Linked DNA regions of Macaca fascicularis. The protein of the gene in region 1 binds, or shares a complex with, the protein of each later gene. Links are inferred from orthologs where the notes say so. Each region holds a gene or a part of one and is shown on either strand. Other genes may lie near its edges.

Region 1 (9,702 bases):
GCCTGGCCCTGAGATCATGAGGACCATCCCTGAGGAGGAACTGAATGACAACTGGAGAGAAATGAGCTTTGAGATCCTCAGGGCCTCTGATGGGGAAGACTCAGCCTCAGGTAGGACAGCAAGGGTGAGATGGAAGGTGCATGTTTTGGGGGTTTGTTCTGGGGCAAAGCACAAGCAGTAAGTGCTTCCAAGGAAGTACAGGAAGAATGCTCTTTTGCTGACTCCAAGGGAGTGGATTACAGAAGGAAGAACAAAGAGAATGGCAGGGGGAGGGAGCACTGTGAAAAAGGCCTGCTCTCTCCCCAGGTAGGAAGGCTCCAGCGCCGGACCCTGAGGCAGCTTCTGGAGAATGGGAGCTGCTGAGGCTGGATTCCAGCAAGAAGGAGCTGCCCAGCCCATGCCCAGACAAGGAGAGTGACAAGGACCTTGGTCCTCAGCTCCGGCTCCCCTCAGCCCCCATAGCCACTGGTGAATATGCAATCCCTGATGTTGGTCACTTTGAGAGGGCTGAGCTTCTAGGACTTTTGACCCCTCTGTCTTTCCAGGCTGGATTCTGATCTGGATCCAGTAGCCTGTGAACCTGTGTTTGAACCTGTGTCTATGAGCTGTGTGCAGGTCACTTAACCTCTCCAAGCTTCTATTCCTTCTGTAAAAATGGGGTTTAGGGGGCATGGTGGAGTGAGTTGATGCCTGTTAGTTGCATGGCACCTCATTTGGCACGTTGCTCTTCATAAATGGTAGCTGCTATTTGCCATGTGGGAGATGAGATAGGGACTCTTCCTTCTTGGAAAGTTCCTGTCAACTATGAAATAAGGAATTCAGCTGTACCAAGTGTCCTGACATTCCTCTAGGTCTTTCTACCCTGGACTCCATCTGTGACTCCCTGAGTGTTGCTTTCCGGGGCATTAGTCACTGTCCTCCTAGTGGGCTCTATGCCCACCTCTGCCGCTTCCTGGCCCTGTGCCTGGGCCACCGGGATCCCTATGCCACTGCTTTCCTTGTCACCGAGTCTGTCTCCATCACCTGTCGCCACCAGCTGCTCACCCACCTCCACAGACAACTCAGGTGGGTGCCCACCATCCCCGAGACTCCTGCTGGGGCAGACTGGAGGGAGGGTCCAGACTTTGAAGGAAGGGGACCTCACCCCTCCCTGTGTTGCTTGCAGCAAGGCCCAGAAGTACCGAGGATCACTTGAAATAGCAGACCAGCTGCAGGGGCTAAGCCTTCAGGAGACGCCTGGAGATGTCCCCCTGGCCCGCATCCAGCGCCTCTTTTCCTTCAGGGCTTTGGGATCTGGCCATTTCCCCCAGCCTGAAAAGGAGAGTTTCCAGGAGCGCCTGGCTCTGATCCCCAGTGGTATGCGGGCAGGCTTCTGGCCGGCTCCTCTGTCCTCTTCTGCATCTTCTTACTGAGGAGCTGGGTGAAGGAGTTTTAGGCATTGGTTAGTTTACATAGATTTATGACCCTTATGTCATACCTTTTCACCTGTTAGCATCTTAAATCAGGAAGGTTTGTTGTTTTTTTAAACCTCAACTTTGAATTACCAGCAAATTCAGTGTCTTTCCTCAGAGGTGAGTTCAGATGCCTGGGGTCTTCTGTACTAACGTGAAACATACACATGATTTGAGCACCTCACTTTGTTAGTTCCTGTGAGAAACACAAAGTACAGGACATAGTCTCTGTGCACAGGGAGCTATTAGGCAAGGGAGAGCACTTTGACCTCCAGTGACCAAGGAAGCTTTCTTGATGCTGTCTTGAGTGATGGACAGTGATTGAGTGCCCAAGACAGAGAAGGGAATTCTTTCAACAGCTGAATGATTCTGGCTGTATCCTGTTTGTCAGGGGTGACCGTGTGTGTGTTGGCCCTGGCCACCCTCCAGCCCGGAACCGTGGGCAACACCCTCCTATTGACCCGGCTGGAAAAGGACAGTCCCCCAGTCAGTGTGCAGATTCCCACTGGCCAGAACAAGGTAGGATTCCTGGGCCATGGAGCGAAGTTGGGCTGGGTTGGACTTTGGGTCAAGCTGCTCACATTCTGTGTTGGGAGAGGGAGAGAGATGGTGATCACGTGGACAGGCAGAGCTCTCACAGCCCCATCTCCCAAAGCTTCCTCTGCGTTCAGTCCTGAATGAGTTTGATGCCATCCAGAAGGCACAGAAAGAGAACAGCAGCTGTACTGACAAGCGAGAATGGTGGACGGGGCGGCTGGCACTGGACCACAGGATGGAGGTGTGTGCTCCTGGGGTGGGGTCAGGCCTGCCCTAGGAACGACCCGGGGGGTCCCAGTGTCTTCTCTACCAGAGGGCCTGGGTCAGTGCTAAAGCCACTTCAAATCCTTTCTGGAAGTGTAGACCTAAATTTAAAAATATGTCACCGGCCGGGCGCGGTGGCTCAAGCCTGTAATCCCAGCACTTTGGGAGGCCGAGGCGGGTGGATCACGAGGTCAAGAGATCGAGACTATCCTGGCTAACATGGTGAAACCCCGTCTCTACTAAAAATACAAAAAACTAGCTGGGCGTGGTGGCGGGCGCCTGTAGTCCCAGCTACTTGGGAGGCTGAGGTGGGAGAATGGCATGAACCCGGGAGGCGGAGCTTGCAGTGAGCCCAGATCACGCCACTGCACTCCAGCCTGGGAGACACAGCGAGACTCCATCTCTCAAAAAAAAAAAATAAAAATAAAAAAATTAAAAAATTAAAAAAAATAAAAATATGTCACCTGGGGAGAACTTCAGAGCCCAGAACTTGAAGAATATATGGGAATGGATATTTAAAGATACGCAGAAAAAAAAAGGATTTAAACCCAACTATCAGCTTCCCAGTTTTAGCTTTCATTGCCCACCTGTTAATGTTTGTCACAACAGAGGGATAGATAATAGTCTATACTCTCCCAGGCTCAGAAAATGAAAAAAGTTTCTAGATTCTTGCCTTCTATGACTAACAGAAAGATACGTAAGACAGATATACACGTTGGAAAACGCACTTTCTCATCTCCAGAATGTCAGTGCCTATGAGAAAGAAGCTCAGTTTCCTCTCCAACTAAAGGGTCTGCCCTCTGCATTCAGGTTCTCATCGCTTCCCTAGAGAAGTCTGTGTTGGGCTGCTGGAAGGGGCTGCTGCTGCCGTCCAGTGAGGACCCCAGCCCTGCCCAGGAGGCCTCCCGCCTACAGGAGCTGCTACAGGAATGTGGCTGGAAATATCCTGACCCCACTCTGCTGAAAGTGAGTGAGGAAAGCAGGGAAGGGGGCCAGGCCCAGTGACTTGCACCTGTAATCCCAGCACTTTGGGAGGCCAAGGCAGGTGGATTGCTTGAGCTCAGGAGCTTGAGACCAGCCTGGCCAACATGGTGAAACCCTGTCTCTACGAAAATACAAAAATTCGCTGGGCGTGGTGGCCGGCACCTGTAATTCCAGCTACTCAGGAGGCTGTAGCAGAAGAATTGCTTGAACCTGGGAGGCAGAGGTTGCAGTGAGCCGAGATCGCTACACTCCAGCCTGGGTGACAGAGCGAGACTCCATCTACAAAAAGGACAGGCGCTGTGGCTTAGGCCTGTAATCCCAGCACTTTGGGAGGCCGAGGCGGGTGGATCTTGAGGTCAAGAGGTGGAGACCATCCTGGCCAACAGGGTGAAACCCCATCTCTACTAAAAATACAAAACTTAGCTGGGCTTGGTGGCACGTGCCTGTAGTCTCAACTACTCGGGAGGCTGAGGCAAGAGAATCACTTGAACCCGGGAGGTGAAGGTTGCAGTGAGCTGAGATTGCGCCACTGCACTCCAGCCTGGGCGACAGAGCAAGACTTTGTCTCAAAAAAAAATAAAGCAGGGAAGGGGAAGAAACTGGACTTAATCCTTTCCCAGCAGCCATCATGAATGAAGATGGTGCTCACCACCACTGTTCCCCTGCAGATCATGCTCAGTGGTGCCAGTGCCCTCACCCCTCAGGACGTTCAGGCCCTGGCCTACGGGCTGTGCCCAACCCAGCCAGAGCGAGCCCAGGAGCTCCTGAATGAGGCAGTAGGACATCTACAGGGCCTGACAGTACCAAGCAATAGCCACCTTGTCTTGGTCCTAGACAAGGTAAGGAGCTGGGGCAGAGGGGCAGTGTCTAGTGGGGAGTAAGTACCAACTCATCCCCATGCCCCTTCTGACTTCTGCATATACCTGGCTGGGGACAGTAACCTCTTAGTGCTTTTTGCCCAGGACTTGCAGAAGCTGCCGTGGGAAAGCATGCCCAGCCTCCAGACACTGCCTGTCACCCGGCTGCCCTCCTTCCGCTTCCTACTCAGCTACTCCATCATCAAAGAGGTGAGGTTCAGGGAGTGGTGTCTGGGGATGACTGGCAATTGGGGAAGACCTCAACAAAAGGGCAGAGAAACCTGGGAAGAGAGGAGAGGGTTCTAGGAATGGCTCAGACATGGAAAGGGGCTTGGGCCTCTTGGTGAGACAAGCATCCTAATCACCAGTGTCTCCTCCTCAGTATGGGGCCTCGCCAGTGCTGAGTCAAGGGGTGGATCCGCGAAGTACCTTCTATGTCCTGAACCCTCACAATAACCTGTCAAGCACAGAGGAGCAATTTCGAGCCAATTTCAGCAGGTCAGGGGCACAAAGACAAGAAGAGGAGTGGGGAAGGGTAGACAACATACAGGGGCAGCAAGCCTTTTCTCCAGAAACAGCTGTTGCAGCCCACCTTCTATTTAATGATCCCTCTGCCGTCTTTGCCATCTGACCCCTGCCATGCATTTCCCTATTCTCACTCCCGCCTTTTCCCTGCAGTGAAGCTGGCTGGCGAGGAGTGGTTGGGGAGGTGCCGAGACCCGAACAGGTGCAGGAAGCCCTGACAAAGCATGATTTGTATATGTGAGTGCTTAAGGCAGGGATGTGGGGAGAGGGCAGTCCTGAGGATGGTATCACCATGGGTCGCTTTGGGACTTGAGAGCCTCTGGAGACAAAGGCAGAGGCCAGGTACTGCTAGCTCAAGACTCATCTCACCTCCTTCTGCCTTAGCTATGCAGGGCATGGGGCTGGTGCCCGCTTCCTTGACGGGCAGGCTGTCCTGCGGCTGAGCTGCCGGGCAGTGGCCCTGCTGTTTGGCTGTAGCAGTGCGGCCCTGGCTGTGCATGGAAACCTGGAGGGGGCTGGCATCGTGCTCAAGTACATCATGGCTGGTTGGTGAGTCTCCAAGGGCAAGACCCATCCTAGGGCACTAAGACTCCTGCCCTCACCCCAGGTTCTTTCCCAGGTCTGAATCCTGCCTCTCTTGTGCCCCATTTTCCTCCTATCTCTAGTTCCCTGGCATGCCTGGACCATTTAACCCTTAGCTCCCGTCTATTCTTCTCTTGTAACCAAGGGCCAAAGGAATTTCTCATTGGTTCAGTCCTCTCTACTCACCCACCCCACCACCAATGGTGTTTTCCTATGTATTCTGTTTTAGAGCCCTTACTTTGTATTTCTTTTCTTTTCCCAGCCCCTTGTTTCTGGGTAATCTCTGGGATGTGACTGATCGTGATATTGACCGCTACACGGAAGCTCTGCTGCAGGGCTGGCTTGGAGCAGGCCCGGGGGCCCCCCTTTTGTACTATGTAAACCAGGCCCGCCAGGCTCCCCGACTCAAGTATCTTATTGGGGCTGCACCTATAGCCTATGGCTTGCCTGTCTCTCTGCGGTAACCCCATGGAGTTGTCTTATTGATGCTAGAAGCCTCATACCTGTTCTACCTCCAAGGTTAGATTTAATCCTTAGGATAACTCTTTTAAAGTGACTTTCCCCAGTGTTTTATATGAAACATTTCCTTTTGATTTAACTTCAATATAATAAAGATACATCACTTAAACCTTGTTTTGTGTAGTTTATCTGAGAACATTTAAAGACATGTCATGACTGCCCCCCTTCCTGCTATGTGGTACTGTAAGCTGACAGGAACAGCTTATAGGAGATCAAGTTTGAGTGCCTAGGTAAGAAAGACAAAGACACAGGACAAAGCCTGCTGGGCCTGGCTGGACCTCAGCAGACAAATCTGGAGGAGAAAGGGGCATCAAAATTCTAAGTAGAGACAGGCCCAATGAAGGGTAGTAATAGACCCGTTGAGTGTTTTGGCCAGGTACCATCCGTCCATCCTTTCTTCCTGCCTCAGGTATCCTTGGAGTGGCACTAGTGTTTTTTTTTGTTTGTTTGTTTTGAGACAGTCTTGCTCTGTTGCCCAGGCTGGAGTGTAGTGGCACAATCTTGGCTCACTGCAACCTCTGCGTGCCGGGTTCAAGCGATTCTCCTGCTTCAGCCTCCCGAGTAGCTGGGACTACAGGCACATGCCACCATGTCCCACTAATTTTTGTATTTTTAGTAGAGGCAGGGTTTCACCATATTGGCCAGGCTGGTCTCAAACTCCTGACCTTGTGATCCGCCCTTCTCAGCCTTCCAAAAGTGCTGGGATTACAGGCGTGAGTCACCGTGCCCAGCCATGGCACTAGTTTTAATGCCTCAGTTGCCCTGCCTCCCTCCTAAGTAGATGTTAAAGGCTACTGCTGTCTGCCCATGTACACATGTTACACTTACCAATGCGTAACTTTAGCAGTAGAGTCTGTGGATCTGTGGAGTTCTAGTGTGGTTTTTCTCTCCAGTTGTTAAGCTCAAGGGAAGCAAATGTCTTACTCTCACGTATTCCTCACATATAGCACATGGTAAAACTTTTTTTTTTTTTTTTTGAGACAGTCTGGCTCTGTTGCCCAGGCTGGAGTGCAGTGGCGCATCTCAGCTCACTGCAAGCTCCGCCTCCCGGGTTCACGCCATTCTGCCTCAGCCTCCCCAGTAGCTGGGACTACAGGCGCTCGCCACCATGCCTAGCTAATTTTTTGTATTTTTATTAGAGATGGGGTTTCACCATGTTAGCCAGGATGGTCTCGATCTCCTGACCTCGTGATCTGCCTGCCTCGGCCTCCCAAAGTGCTGGGATTACAGGCGTGAGCCACTGTGCCAGGTTTTTTTTTTTTTTTTTAGAGACAGAGTCTAGCTCTGTTGCTAGAGTGCACAATCACAGCCTACTACAGCCTCCAACTCTCCAGCTCAAGCAATCCTCCCACCTCAGCCTCCCGTGTAGCTAGGACTACAGGCATATGCCACCAGCCCGGCTAATTTTTGTATTTTTTGTTGAGACGGGGTGTCGCCATGTTGCCCAGGCTGGCCTCAAACTCCTGGGCTCAAGTGATCTGCCCTTCTCGGCCTCCCAAAGTGCTGGGATTGCAGGAATGAGCCACCATGCCTGGCCAAAACATTTTATTGATTAATTTGTGCTCTATGTGTTGACAATGGTGCTTCCTTGCTGTTCTCCCACCAACTCACTGGCAACGGGTTATAAACCCTTTTTCAGATCCTACTAGGTGTCAGCCTACTTCCGGCTGGGGGAAGATGGTCATAGCTAGAGGGGAAGAATTAGTTCAGTGATGAGAACATGGTTGGTTCCTGCCTTCAACAAGCTTTCAATCTAATGCCTGATTTTTTTTTTTTTTTTTTTTTTTTTTGAGACGGAGTCATGCTCTGTCGCCCAGGCTGGAGTGCAGTGGCCGGATCTCAGCTCACTGCAAGCTCCGCCTCCCGGGTACACGCCATTCTCCTGCCTCAGCCTCCCAAGTAGCTGGGACTACAGGCGCCCGCCACTTCGCCCGGCTAGTTTTTTGTATTTTTTAGTAGAGACGGGGTTTCACCGTGTTAGCCAGGATGGTCTCGATCTCCTGACCTCATGATCCGCCCGTCTCGGCCTCCCAAAGTGCTGGGATTACAGGCTTGAGCCACCGCGCCCGGCCATGCCTGATTTTTTCAAGAACAATTCAGAACGGTCTGACAAGGGATTTTTTTGTTGTTGTTATTTGTTTTTTTTTCCCTGCCTTTCGGCCTCAGAGGCCATCTGGGAAAAATAGTTTAGAATTTCCCTGCCATGGCCGGGCGCGGTGGCTCAAGCCTGTAATCCCAGCACTTTGGGAGGCCGAGACGGGCGGATCACTAGGTCAGGAGATCGAGACCATCCTGGCGAACACGGTGAAACCCCGTCTCTACTAAAAAATACAAAAAACTAGCCGGGCGAGGCGGCGGGCGCCTGTAGTCCCAGCTACTCGGGAGGCTGAGGCAGGAGAATGGCGTAAACCCGGGGGGCGGAGCTTGCAGTGAGCTGAGATCCGGCCACTGCACTCCAGCCCGGGCGACAGAGCCAGACTCCGTCTCAAAAAAAAAAAAATAAAATAAAAAATAAAGAATTTCCCTGCCATTTCCCTGCTGTGCGGGGAGGAATATTTGAAATCGGACCTGGCGGGGTACCAGCAGGCAGCACAAGCAGGTGGGGTAGAGAGGGGCAGGACGAGGCCCCAGGAGCCGTCACCATAGCAACCCAGCCTGCTATCTAGTAGCTTATACCACCCACGTGGAGTAGCATACACTACTTTGTAATATCGTGGTTGTATCGTGAGAACTTTAAGATTTTGCAGTTCCCTATGGGCAGGAGTCCTGTTTGCTGCTACTTTACTGTACTAGGCTTAGAATATTTTATGAAAATAACTGACAGATCAGCCTCTGAGAAATTCAAGCCCCTCCTTCCCTTCCGGGACGGAGGATCATAGAGCTGTATGGCGCAGCGAGGCCTCCTGGCGCCATCGAGACGCGCAGAGGACGGCTAGAGCGTTGCTCGCCGAGGGACTTCCTCTTCGTTAGTCCTCCTTCCCAACATGGCGCAGTCTATTAACATCACGGAGCTGAATCTGCCGCAGCTAGAAATGCTCAAGAACCAGCTGGACCAGGTAGTGACGGGCCCCATAGGCACCTCTTTCCCGCTCTACATCCCCCTTGCCCACGCGTACTTCCTTGCGCCCGGTCCCAAGTTGGGAGCCTACCTTGCCCAGGCGAAACCTCTATCCGGTCCCAGGACCCGCCCCCTCCCCGGCCGCTCTCCCTTTTCCCCATAGCCCTCTCATTGACCCGCTATACCCGTCCTCTGTAGGAAGTGGAGTTCTTGTCCACGTCCATTGCCCAGCTCAAAGTGGTACAGACCAAGTATGTGGAAGCCAAGGACTGTCTGAACGTGCTGAACAAGAGCAACGAGGGTATGGGGTAGGGGGGTGAGGGCAACCTAAAGTGGCAAGCCTGCTTCTCTCGTCCCACCTCCTAATCCAGTTTTTCTTACCTGAAACGAGAAAATCCATTACATATCGTATACCGCTTCATGAACCCTTTGCATGTTGCCTACCTAGAATTGAAATGTACAAGACGTTCCTCTGCTTCTATTGCCCCTGTTTCCGTTCTTTTCACACTGTCTGTGGGTGCTGTGCCCTCTTGGAACTCTCTTTAACGTCTTACATTGGAGCCACTAACCTTCCCCAGGTGTTTGTCTTCATTGCTTTCACAGGGAAAGAATTACTTGTCCCACTGACGAGTTCTGTATCCTTTCCACAGGAACGGCTACCTGCTGCCTTCTCCCTTTCTCCCTCACTCCTCCAAAAAGCAGGGAGGGGGATTGTTTTGATTACTTCAGTACTTCAGATTATCCTCTCCCCACAATGATTTTGATAACACCCTTTTTTTTTTTTAAAGACGGAATCTTGCTCTGTCGCCCAGACTGGAGTGCAGTGGTGCGATCTCGGCTCACTGTAACCTCCGCCTCCTGGGTTCAAGAGATTCTTCTGCCTCAGTCTCCTGAGTAGCTGGGACCGCAGGCACGCGCCACCACG
Region 2 (10,469 bases), on another chromosome or scaffold:
ATTAGGAAGTAAGTCTTATAAGTATCTGAATCTCTTAGAGACCAAAGTAAGAGCTAACAGTCTCACTCATGTAACTTATTAGCACAAATTATCCCACATCAGAACAAACAGAAAACATAATGATGGCTTTGACTACCCGTTCAAACAAAGACCTCAAACCTTCTGCAGTAAGAAATTATTGTCAGTCTATGCCACAGCACAGGTGTTTGGATCTTATATTAGCTTTGGATATAACATGGAATCATCATTCCAAACAAGTTTATTATATATGCTTCAACTTACAGCCTAAGAAGATGTGAGAATTAATCTTTTAATTAAGACTACCCAGTTTCCAGAATAACAATTTTACTGGGGCATTTGGGACCAAAAAGCAATACCAATTGAGAATAGTTTATTTTTCTGAAACCTTATCCTTGTCATTTGAAGGACAGAAATGACTCACAGGCTCACCTCCCGCACAACTTTGTTCCCACGGTAATGGAAGTGTTATGAAACAAATTGTTTGCAGCCCTTCTAGAAGGGCACTTGCTCACTTACTGGATTCCCATGGTGGAGAGGGCATCTTCACAGGTGAAGGGGGGCCCAGCTGAAACAGCTTTTCAAGCTCTCTCTCCTCGTCAAGGATCATGAGAGGCACTCCACTCAAGGGGAGGTGCGCAATCTGGTGCTCTTCAGGCAGGTCAAAACTCTCAAAGTCTGTTACAGAGAGAAAGTGTTTTTGTCAGAGCAGCAGTTCTCAGTGTGGGCTGTAGACTCCTTGTGGTCTGAGACACTTTCAGGGGGTCCATGAGGTCAAAACTATTTTCATGACAATATTCACACCTTTTCCCACTGGGTTGACATTTGTGATGATGGTACCAAGGCAATGGTGGATAAAGCTGCTGGTGCCTCAACACAAATCAAGGCAGTGACAGTAAACCATAGGAGCAGTCTCTATGTTCTGCATCTTTCTGCACTTGTAGTTTAAAAATGCCAGTTTCACTTAATGTCACTTCACCATATGCAGTAGAATGTATTAATTTTATTAGCTCTCCATCCTTGAGAAGATGTCTTTTTAATGTTCTATGTGATAAAATGAGAAGTATGCCATAAAGCACTTCCACTGCACACCAAAATACGATTATCTCAAAGCAAAAGGATTTGTGCAATTGTCTGAGTTGCAAGCTAAAACTAGAGAACTTTTTCCTGGAATACTGTTTTTACTTGAATTAACAACTGCAAGAAATCCCATGGTCACTCAGACCTGGATGCCTGTCACACTTTTTCTCAAAGGCATGAAAGAAGTCCATCACCTCAAGGAAAACTGACAGGCTTTGTTACCAACGGCAGAATATAAAATGTCAAAATTTTGTCAAAAACCAAAAAATGAATTTTTTTTTTTTTGAGACACAGTCTCACTCTTTCACCCAGGCTGCAGTGCAGTGGCACAATCTCTGTTCACTGCAACCTCTGCCTCCCGGGTTCAAGCAATTCTCCTGCCTCAGTCTCCCAAGTAGCTGGGATTACAGGCGCGCCCACCACGCCCGGATAATTTTTGTATTTTTAGTAGAGACGGGGTTTCACCATGTTGGCCAGGCTGGTCTTGAACTCCTGACCTCAGGGGATCTGCCAGCCTTGCCTCCCAAAGTGCTGGGATTACAGGCATGAGCCACTGTGTCTGGCCAAAAGAAGGAATTTTGGAACACTTAACTGCAGTCATTAGCTTGACAGGTGCCTTAGACTTTTCTGATGAGATCAGTTGTGATATTAATGTGCTTTTGATATTATATAATCTCAACATATGAGTATCTACATATCTCAGTGAATCAATATTTCTGAATGCTCAATGCAAGATAGATGCAAGAATAAAAGATACACTCCAAGTGCAAAACAGACCGATGGATTTTACTGTCAAGATACAAAATGCTCATTGATATGCTTTCAGATTCCACATTGCAATTATATATTCAGAAACAGCCACTTGTGGGTTTTAGTGTAGTGGCAAAGAAAACTATCCACGCTTATCTGAAAAGACTATTAAAAACATATCTGTGTGAGGTCAGGTTTTCTTCATATATTTTTCAAAAATAGAAACCATGCCATTCTTCTCAAAACTTTTCCAAAACAAATATTTTATGTTAAAAAAAATTTACATTAATGTAATGTGATTACTTAGTGAATATCTTAAGTTTTTCAGTTTTAATTTCTAAATCTTTGTCCTTAGGTATGAAAGTTCTCTAAAGCCTAAGTACTCAAGAATTAGTCTGCTCTTTTTCAAGCCTGGTAAAACCCAGAAGTCAAGAAAGAATTGAATGATATGTGACTATTTAGCTTAAAACTACTGAATTGTAAAGGAAATCATAAACAGACAAAAGACTCCAGAGGAAAGAAGTCTGCAATCTAAGGGGAGCTAATTTTATCTACAAAGAGCTCTTTAATCAAAGAAAAACACAAACAGGAAGTTAATAAAAGAAAAACTAAGTGGCCAATAATCAAATATGCTCACCACACAAATTTAAAACAATAAAATATTTCTTTTCTGATAAAGATTAGAGTTTTAAAACATTGATAGTGAACATGGAGGAAGCAGCCATCTTCATCCACTGTAGATGGATTTAACAATTTACACTATTTTGAAGGGCCACTTAGCAATATCTCTTTCCTCTAACACAGGATACTGTGGTCTTCATTCTTGATCAATATGCATAAATCTACCTCATTTTTCCCAATGGCTGAATGATAATTATTAGCACGATGCACCACATTTTATAATTTTAAAACTTAATCACACAAACCCTCGAACCCAGCAATCCTTCTCAGTTTCCCTCCTGATGTACTCACAAACTTGCAACGAGATCATTTCAAGAATACTAATCGTAGAAATGTTTCTAGTTTCTAAAAGCCAGAACAATCTGAATGCAAATTAGTAAAAGAATAACTACATGACCTCTTTGGCTAAATAAAAGGGTAAAAGATCCAGCTCAGAAATCTGTAAGGCCCTCCCTGATCTGCCCCCACACCTCACCTGTATCCTCCTTCACCGTGCCTGTATTTTTCCTAGAACCACTTCAGTCCCTTTTCCTACCTCAGGATCTTTGCACCACTTTGACCTACAATGCTCTTTTTTCCGGCTCACACTCACAGTGAGATGGCTTGTCCAGCATCTGACTTTCCCTTCAAATTGTGGGCTCCCATAGGCAGGGCCCATCTTGTTAAACAGTGTGTCCAGCACCTAGCGATGCCTGACACACAGTGGCTTCTCCTCAAATGGCTGAGTAAATTAAAGCTTGAAAAGCTGTTTCCAAAACAGAAAATACTTCAGATACATGTAGCAGGTTGAAGAAATTTGAAAAACACGTCTTCACTGTCTTATGTAGATTTTTCTAACCAAAGAAATAATCCTACCAAAGCACTCTCAGGCATTGACATAAAGCTCACTTTCTAAAAGGCTTGTGAGAAAGACTGTCCACAATGGGACTTATTCAATATTCATGAATACATCTTACCTCCTCTAGGTGATAAGCTTTTACAGACAGGAACAATGTCTTCTGTATCTTTGTTCCTATTCCCCTCCTGATCTAAGATGATACCTTGCAAATAATTCCATCAACAAGTACATTTGTCCAAAACGACCCAGATTCAGACAGTCTCATTATAGTTTTTGGTCATATATTATATTCATATCAAGTTACAGCTGAGCTGAATACTAAGAAACTAAAGGCCAAAAGCACTTTTTGCAATTACAAAAGATACTACCTAGAGGATTGAAGGGAAAGAATTTTTCTATTTCTGGATAGGCATCGTCTGAGGCAGGAACAGAACTTTTTGTTTTAACAGTCTTCTCAGTCATCTAGAACAGCCAAAGAAAATATGGGTTAGTGAGAGTGGATGTCTTATTAGCTGATTAGTTTTTAAATTTGTCAATTTCATGCTGCCTTCTAAGAAGCCATAATCCTTAGTTTTCATAATTACACCTAAATATACTTCAAATAATATGATTCAAATGTAATTCGAGTAGCATGACTCAAAAGTTAAAATCTGAAATGTAAGTACCAGCACCTGTCAGCGTAAGTTATCAAGAATGCAGAGTTAATTCAGAGCTAATCAACGCAATTATTCAACCTAACAGAGGAGAAAACGGGCATGAATCACCCAGGATAGTAGCTAATCATCAAAGCCATTTTTGGCTTATAGGAGTGTGATTTTTCTGCAAGTGTTACCTAATTATGTACTTGGTTAATATTAAAAACAAGTTTGTGTTCCTCAAATACACTGAGTAAGAGGCAGCAAGACACTGTCAAGGACTTTAGAAAAACGCCATGGGCAATCTCCTAGTCTGGAGTTGACGGGTCTACTACAGTCTACTACAGAAGGGTGCTACAATGGAAGCCGGCATATTCCTGATTTATCTCACCTCACATAAGCATGCCTAGAACTCCCTATGGGGTTCCCACACTTCGGTTCTGTGTCTCATTGTTTTTGCCATATCTTTGCAATTCCTGTATTTAATATTTTTAAGTTAATTCACTTTTTTAAAAAGACATCCTTGTCCTAAGTTGCACTACATGTAATTCACCAGTTGTTTCCTAATGCAAATTAAACAAAACAGTTATTCAAATAAAGTGTTAATCCTCATGCTAACGTCATCTTTCACAGCAAAGTGCTCTCAGTCTGGGATACACAGACCTGTAGCTTGTGACCCACACTCACACAAACATCAACATGCTAGCAAATTGTCACCTAACAAGCTGCTGCTTGCCCTGGAAGGCTAGGCGGAGAATGGCAACACCTGTGCTATTATAGCAGCAACAGAACCTCTTAAGGCACCCTCTCGCTCAGTACGTATCTGTAAGTAGATACCACCAACCAGTTTTAAGACACTAGTTAAGGACAGGTGAGGGACAAATATGCATTAGCTGCATCTGAGATTTCCAATCTCAAGGCACCAAGAGGTCCACAAGGACAATCTGAGTTTCCTCCACTACTCTGCTTGCTAACCTCTATCTCCCTTCTACTCAGAGGGAAGAAAGCTGGGTAGGATGATGCCAATCGTCATTTTAAGAGTCAAAAGCGCTTAAGTGTTTAAACAGTGTCTTTATAGCCAACACTTACCTTTTTGGCAGAAAAGTTTGGCTGTTTTTGTTTGAGGGGTCCCTTGGTCTTTACAGACTTTTCTGTAGCTCTGTTGACGGTTCCCAAAGCCTTTCTTGTAGCTTTAGGTAAGGCTGGTGGAGCATCGAACGTTTTGCCAAAACGTGGTGTTGAAACTTGAGATCTCCCATCTAAGGCTTTGATTGCTGAAGAAAAAGTCTTACTATAAGAATATTCCAGCAGCAAAATACCTGTACAACTTGAATACTGTGTATGTAAACTTGACCTAACTCTCACCCCCAAACCCACCCCCCATTATTGGTAGTGGTATGGCTACGATAGGCCTAATAGCTGAGATTCAGTACTCCCATAAATCATCTCATTAAGATACTGAAAATGAAAAAGGACCAATAACAGACTTGACTCCATTTGCCCAAAAAGTACACTAAATGTCTCGTCCAGCTCCAGGCCACGTACACAATAGCAGTGTATCCGACTGCAGCCTTGTGTACTTACAAGGTCCAGACCCCAACTTCAGCCCATCCTTAGCAGCCACACGGGTGCCTGGTTCTCCATTTTCCTTATCAACATAGATTAGAGTAGCCATTCTGGATTATTCTAAAAATGAGAAATACATATTAGATACTGGGGAAGGTGGGAGAAGCAAAGGTATAGCAACATACCAAAGTTTTTATCCTAGGGATGTCCACACAAAAACAAGAGCTAAACAGCGGGACAGTCACGGGCGTGAGCCAACAAGTACTTAATCCAGCTCTCAAATCTTCCAGCCTGAGTCAGAGGCTCTAAGGTCCCAAGGAGCAGGCGGTTTGGGGCTGGCACTCTTCAGAGAATTGCCGTGGGTCCAGTTCGCAGTCCGAGACCGCGCTCAAACAGGCTCGGAGCCATCTACGCCCCAGGCAGTCCCCCAACCCCAGCCCCAGCCCCAGCTTCAGCCCCAGCCCAGCCCCAGCCCGCCTCCTTCCCCACCCGACCACGCTCACCTAAACAGCCGCAACCCTCCAGTTCACTCACGCAGCTTCCAACAGCTACATTCGTCTAAGGCGGCGGTGAACGGACGCGGCGCACTCCCGGTTTAAACCACAACTCGCGGCCCAATTGGCTCTTCCGCTCAAGAGGCGGGGTCGGGGGCGTGGTCACCAAGCCGAACCAATGGAAGGGACCTAAGCAGCCAGGACTCCGCCCCAAAAGCTCTTTCTTGCAAACTTTGTGGCACGTTTTCTGGGGAAAAAAATCTAGGGTCGTGTAATATTTTAAAAAAAAATTGAGAGGCTTTTTTTTTGCTCTCCATATTATTAAGCTGCATGGACTGTGGTACTGACTCAATAACAATGTTTTATTGCTTTAAGATATATTTATTTAAATGGCACCGTAGAAAGGATGGAAAATAAATAGAAATATTGTAGAAATGGTCGAAACAACCAACGTTGGGTCTAAAGAATACTAGGAGAGAAAAATTTAAAATTAAGAAGAAATTTAAGTACAGATAGATCAAACAGCAGCGTTTGAGTCATTCTCTTATGCTTATGATTAAGAACGAACTAATCATTCCCTAATCTGAGGATTATCCTCAATACTTCAGGCTAAGATGCTGTTTCTGTTATACCATCACGAATCTGTTTTAGGAACAAAATTATGATTCTAATGAATACATAATTTAGTCTTCCCTTAAAATCCTATCATTTAATACTGATTTATTTTAAACCTCTAAGATCTCAATAATACACTAACCAAAGCTGTCTGGAAGAGCTTGGCCAGGGAGCAAGAGAACATCAGAGAGATAATAAAGATATAAAAAAGGAATTCCAGTTTCCCAGATATGAAAAGAAATTTTGCTTGAAAAAGTTGACGACCTTTTCCTGTTTCTATAGTAAAATGGAATACACTGAACAACCACAAGATAAAGGTATACATTCAAAAGATAGGGCTGACCTGTGTCATTCAAACTCGGCTTCCCACAGGTCACCATATATACATTTTATACCTGCAGATCAGCTGAGAGAGAGGAGTTGATTCCATATTACTCTTTCACAAAAGGCTTAACACTATACCTGACATAGACATGGTTCTCAATATATGCCAGTTCATCATCTCTTCTTCCCTGGCATTTCAGGACCAATATTGATTGAATGATTCATTCATTCACAAATATTTATTGAATACCTATTAAATGGTGGACTTTATACTAGGTATCAAGAAGAAAAGAGCCTAACTTAAGGTGAAGAAAAGAGGAAAGACATAAAAATATGCATACCTTTATTGTCCCTTCACTGCTCTCTTTCCTTTATTCCCACCCCTTATTTCCTCCTGTATCTCCTAAATTTTACATCATCATATTATATTATCAGCACTCAAAGTGTTAATTTTTGAGACTAAATCTTTACAACACCTATAGCTTCGAAGTGGGGATTCTCTATCTACAGAAGTTTTGGGGTGCAAGGTTTATCTCCTTAGGATGTCTTCTTTGTTTCACCAACAGAAAGCATTGTTTCTCCCAAGGCCATGCATCAGCTGTAAACCATAACCACCCTCTCTTTGAATAACCACTGTTTTCTTACTAATGATGCCCTCAGACCAGCTTTGCTATTACTATTACTGAAAATACTCAATTGCTAAACCACCCTCACTCATAACAGCACTTAGTCCCTAATCAGTTTCTCCTAATCCTGCTTTACAAACAGCAACCCATCCAGAACCAATCCCGGCTTTCCTAGACCTTCCTCAGAATCCTCCAGAGGGACCTCAAGTCTTAGAAAAGATTCAACTCTCTTGTCCTGGGCTTTCTGATTCTTCTTCGAGATGTGCTCTCCTGGTGGTTTTGGCTAATTAGACCTTAACACTCCTAAGCAAATTTCAGGAATGTTTTTAAGTGGAAAAAAACAAAGCCTGAGTGATTTATAGACTCTACTCACTTTCACGCCAGTCTCTGTTTCTTCATCTACTGCCCTGTAAAAGCAGAATTAATATTTATGCTCCTAAACTCCAGGTATTGCAAATTGTTAATACGAAAAAAATAGATTCTATTATGTTGGGCTATTTTATTGAGGCAGGAATGGTAGCTATTTTAACTTTTACATTCAAAAACGATACACGTTATGGGGGGGGAGGGGGAGAACAACCAGAATAGAAAGCACAAAGAAAAAAAAATCACAAGAAATTCTACTACGAAAATTAGTTTATTTTCCAGTATTTTATTTCACATGTATACTTTTAAAGAAGGGATGGGATAGCATAGATACTAATGTTTCTCCAAAATGGAAATCGTCGTGTTTTTTCCTAATGATAACGTGCCTTATGTTCTTACAGCACCCGGTATTCCTTTCATAGCAACTTTTACAACTGCTAAATTACCTGAATAGTTGTTTCGGTGTCTTTCGCACTCTGATGTAAATTTGAGGGAAGACACTGTGTTCACCAGATCCCCAGCATGTTACACAGCCTGGCTACTAGTTACTGCCAAGTTTAACTGCCTTTTTTTTTTTTTTTAAGCTGATACATCACCAAATTCTGCATTCATTTCACAGCCCCCTGGTGAGGCTTAAGCTCTTGTCTGTTTTGGTTTTTTTTTTTTTAACTTCCTAAAATTCTCCGATTCTAAAAGAAAGTTCCTAAATAGAAGCTAAAAGAACCCGCCCAACTTGAATCTCTCCACAAGCCGGGTAAATAGCGCGATAAGCACAGCTAGAGTTCTCGCGATTCCCACGGCGCAAGAGGACCAAAGGCCTCCACTCCTCCCGCGTCCCACCAGGAAATTAGTGCGCATGTGCCGATCGTCCGGAAGTTACCGCAGTGGCCGCCGGAATGAGGCGAAAAGCCGGAAGTAAACATTACGAGATTGGCTTGTCTCGGATGGACTTGAGACCAGCTGCGGCGGGACTGGGTAAGAAAATATTTTTAGAACTTTCGGGCGAAGGGGAATTGGGGAACCTGAGAAAATGGGTCGAAGGCTCCTAATTATTGGATATGTCCTCACGGGGGTAATGAGCCCTCAGTTGTTGAGGAGGGAGCGAGGACGGCGGACCGAAAAGGAAGCCACTGTCCTGAGCCCCATTGATGGCACTCGTGCCCAGCCAGACCAGGCCTGCGTCTTCAGGGAAACAGTCGGGATAACTATGAGAGTGTCACCTTTGTGGCGGTGGCCTTGAAGACCCTGAGCGATCCCCGGACTGCGAGCGGGGAAAGCTGCTTCCAGTACCCAATTTGATAGACTGTATTTCCTCGCCAGAAAAATTTACTTAAGCTTCAGTTTTTCCTGTTAAGTCGAGATGATCTGACTTCAGTGGGGTATCATGCGGATATAAGTGAAAACATCTATATAAGTAAATCTCTAAACACTGTCTTACGGTAAGCCCTCAGTAAGTGAGAGCTATTACTGTTTTTAGTTGAAGAAAATAGGCCCCTTCACAGCGACGGAAACGAGTGAGTACAACTTGGTGACTATATTACTTCATTCAGTTTTAGTTTTTAATATTTCAGGCCCAGAAGCCAATGTTCTATGGACAGAGTATAACATACTGTTTTTAGAGAACTGACTCTGGAGTCAGACTTGTGTTTGAAGTCCTTGTTTCTTACTACAATATGCTCTTGGCTGAGGATCTTACCTCTCAGAACCTGTTTCTTCCCTGTAAAATGGGGTTCATCAGACCTATCTACTGGGCTTATTGTGAAGATTAGATGAGGTGATGCACGGTAGGCTCAAGAAATGGTAGCTGTTTTAATGAAGATTATTAAATTTACCTTTGTTCTGCTTCTCTTCGCAGTATATTCAGGCCATCAGTTTATATGTTACACAAATATATGGGGAGATTTTCTATAGGTCAGACACAGGAGAAGAGAACACCTTTGAGAAGCATCGTAGACCCCCAGGCATTGAGCACTTTCCACTGGGAAGGGGTTTGTGTAAAGGCCAAGTGTCTACAGGGAGCACGATGTGTTAGAGGAACCACAAGAAGATCTATGTAGTTAGTAGAGAAGGATGCGGGGATAGTTGTAATGGTGAGGCTGGAAGGTAAGCAGATGCCAGACCATGGTGGACCATGTAGGTGTGTTAAAAAGATGTCAGTTTTTAGAGTACAAATGATAAAATCCTTTGGAGCGTCACTTTTTTTTTAGAGGTAGTCTAGCTCTGTCACCCAGGCTGGAGTGCAGTGATGTGACACCAGCTCACTGCAACCTCCACCTCCTAGGTTCAGATGATTCTCCTGTCTCAGCCTCCCTAGTAGCTAGGATTACAGGTGCACACCACCACGCCCGGCTGATTTTTGTATTTTTAGTAGAGACGAGGTTTCGCCAGGTTGGCCAGGCTGGTCTCAAACTCCTTACCTCAGGTGATCCGCCCGCCTCAGCCTCCCAAAGCGCTGGGATTACAGGTGTGAACCATC

The links. The genes of interacting proteins can lie anywhere in the genome.
Region 2: the proteins of ESPL1 (region 1) and PTTG1 are in contact, whole or in part, in a cryo-EM structure (PDB 7NJ1), measured with the Homo sapiens proteins. The link is inferred for Macaca fascicularis from reciprocal best matches to the Homo sapiens genes ESPL1 and PTTG1. Residues at the interface, in NP_036423.4 of Homo sapiens: His402, Thr405, Val406, Tyr409, Ser461, Asn462, Tyr465, Tyr468, Arg505, Arg508, Glu512, Glu544, Thr547, Phe548, Arg551, Gln590, Lys593, Ala594, Val595, Arg596, Thr599, Gly600, Arg603, Gln634, Cys637, Tyr638, Trp683, Ile686, Glu690, Ile697; in NP_001269311.1 of Homo sapiens: Tyr111, Pro112, Glu113, Ile114, Glu115, Lys116, Phe117, Phe118, Pro119, Phe120, Asn121, Pro122, Leu123, Phe125, Glu126, Ser127, Phe128, Asp129, Leu130, Pro131, Glu132, Glu133, His134, Gln135, Ile136, Ala137, His138, Leu139, Pro140, Leu141.

What each region holds. Positions count from the first base shown.
Region 1 is NC_088385.1:60,087,237-60,096,938, forward strand, and holds the end of ESPL1 (separin), read left to right. Parts: coding exon 1-110; intron 111-306; coding exon 307-468; intron 469-851; coding exon 852-1,065; intron 1,066-1,165; coding exon 1,166-1,356; coding exon of another isoform or gene 1,357-1,412; exon of another isoform or gene 1,413-1,441; intron 1,442-1,842; coding exon 1,843-1,970; exon of another isoform or gene 1,971-1,972; intron 1,973-2,106; coding exon 2,107-2,229; intron 2,230-3,062; coding exon 3,063-3,218; intron 3,219-3,904; coding exon 3,905-4,075; intron 4,076-4,198; coding exon 4,199-4,303; intron 4,304-4,475; coding exon 4,476-4,591; intron 4,592-4,771; coding exon 4,772-4,855; intron 4,856-5,002; coding exon 5,003-5,167; intron 5,168-5,462; coding exon 5,463-5,664; 3' UTR 5,665-5,828; downstream 5,829-9,702. Other genes in the region: PFDN5 (prefoldin subunit 5), read left to right, coding at 8,704-8,775, 8,976-9,078, 9,381-9,412. UniProt on the Homo sapiens protein: Caspase-like protease, which plays a central role in the chromosome segregation by cleaving the SCC1/RAD21 subunit of the cohesin complex at the onset of anaphase. During most of the cell cycle, it is inactivated by different mechanisms.
Region 2 is NC_088380.1:167,188,143-167,198,611, reverse strand, and holds the start of PTTG1 (securin), read right to left. Parts: upstream 6,140-10,469; 5' UTR 6,103-6,139; exon of another isoform or gene 6,072-6,102; intron 5,689-6,071; 5' UTR 5,678-5,688; coding exon 5,587-5,677; intron 5,277-5,586; coding exon 5,092-5,276; intron 3,830-5,091; coding exon 3,736-3,829; intron 697-3,735; coding exon 538-696; intron 1-537. UniProt on the Homo sapiens protein: Regulatory protein, which plays a central role in chromosome stability, in the p53/TP53 pathway, and DNA repair. Probably acts by blocking the action of key proteins.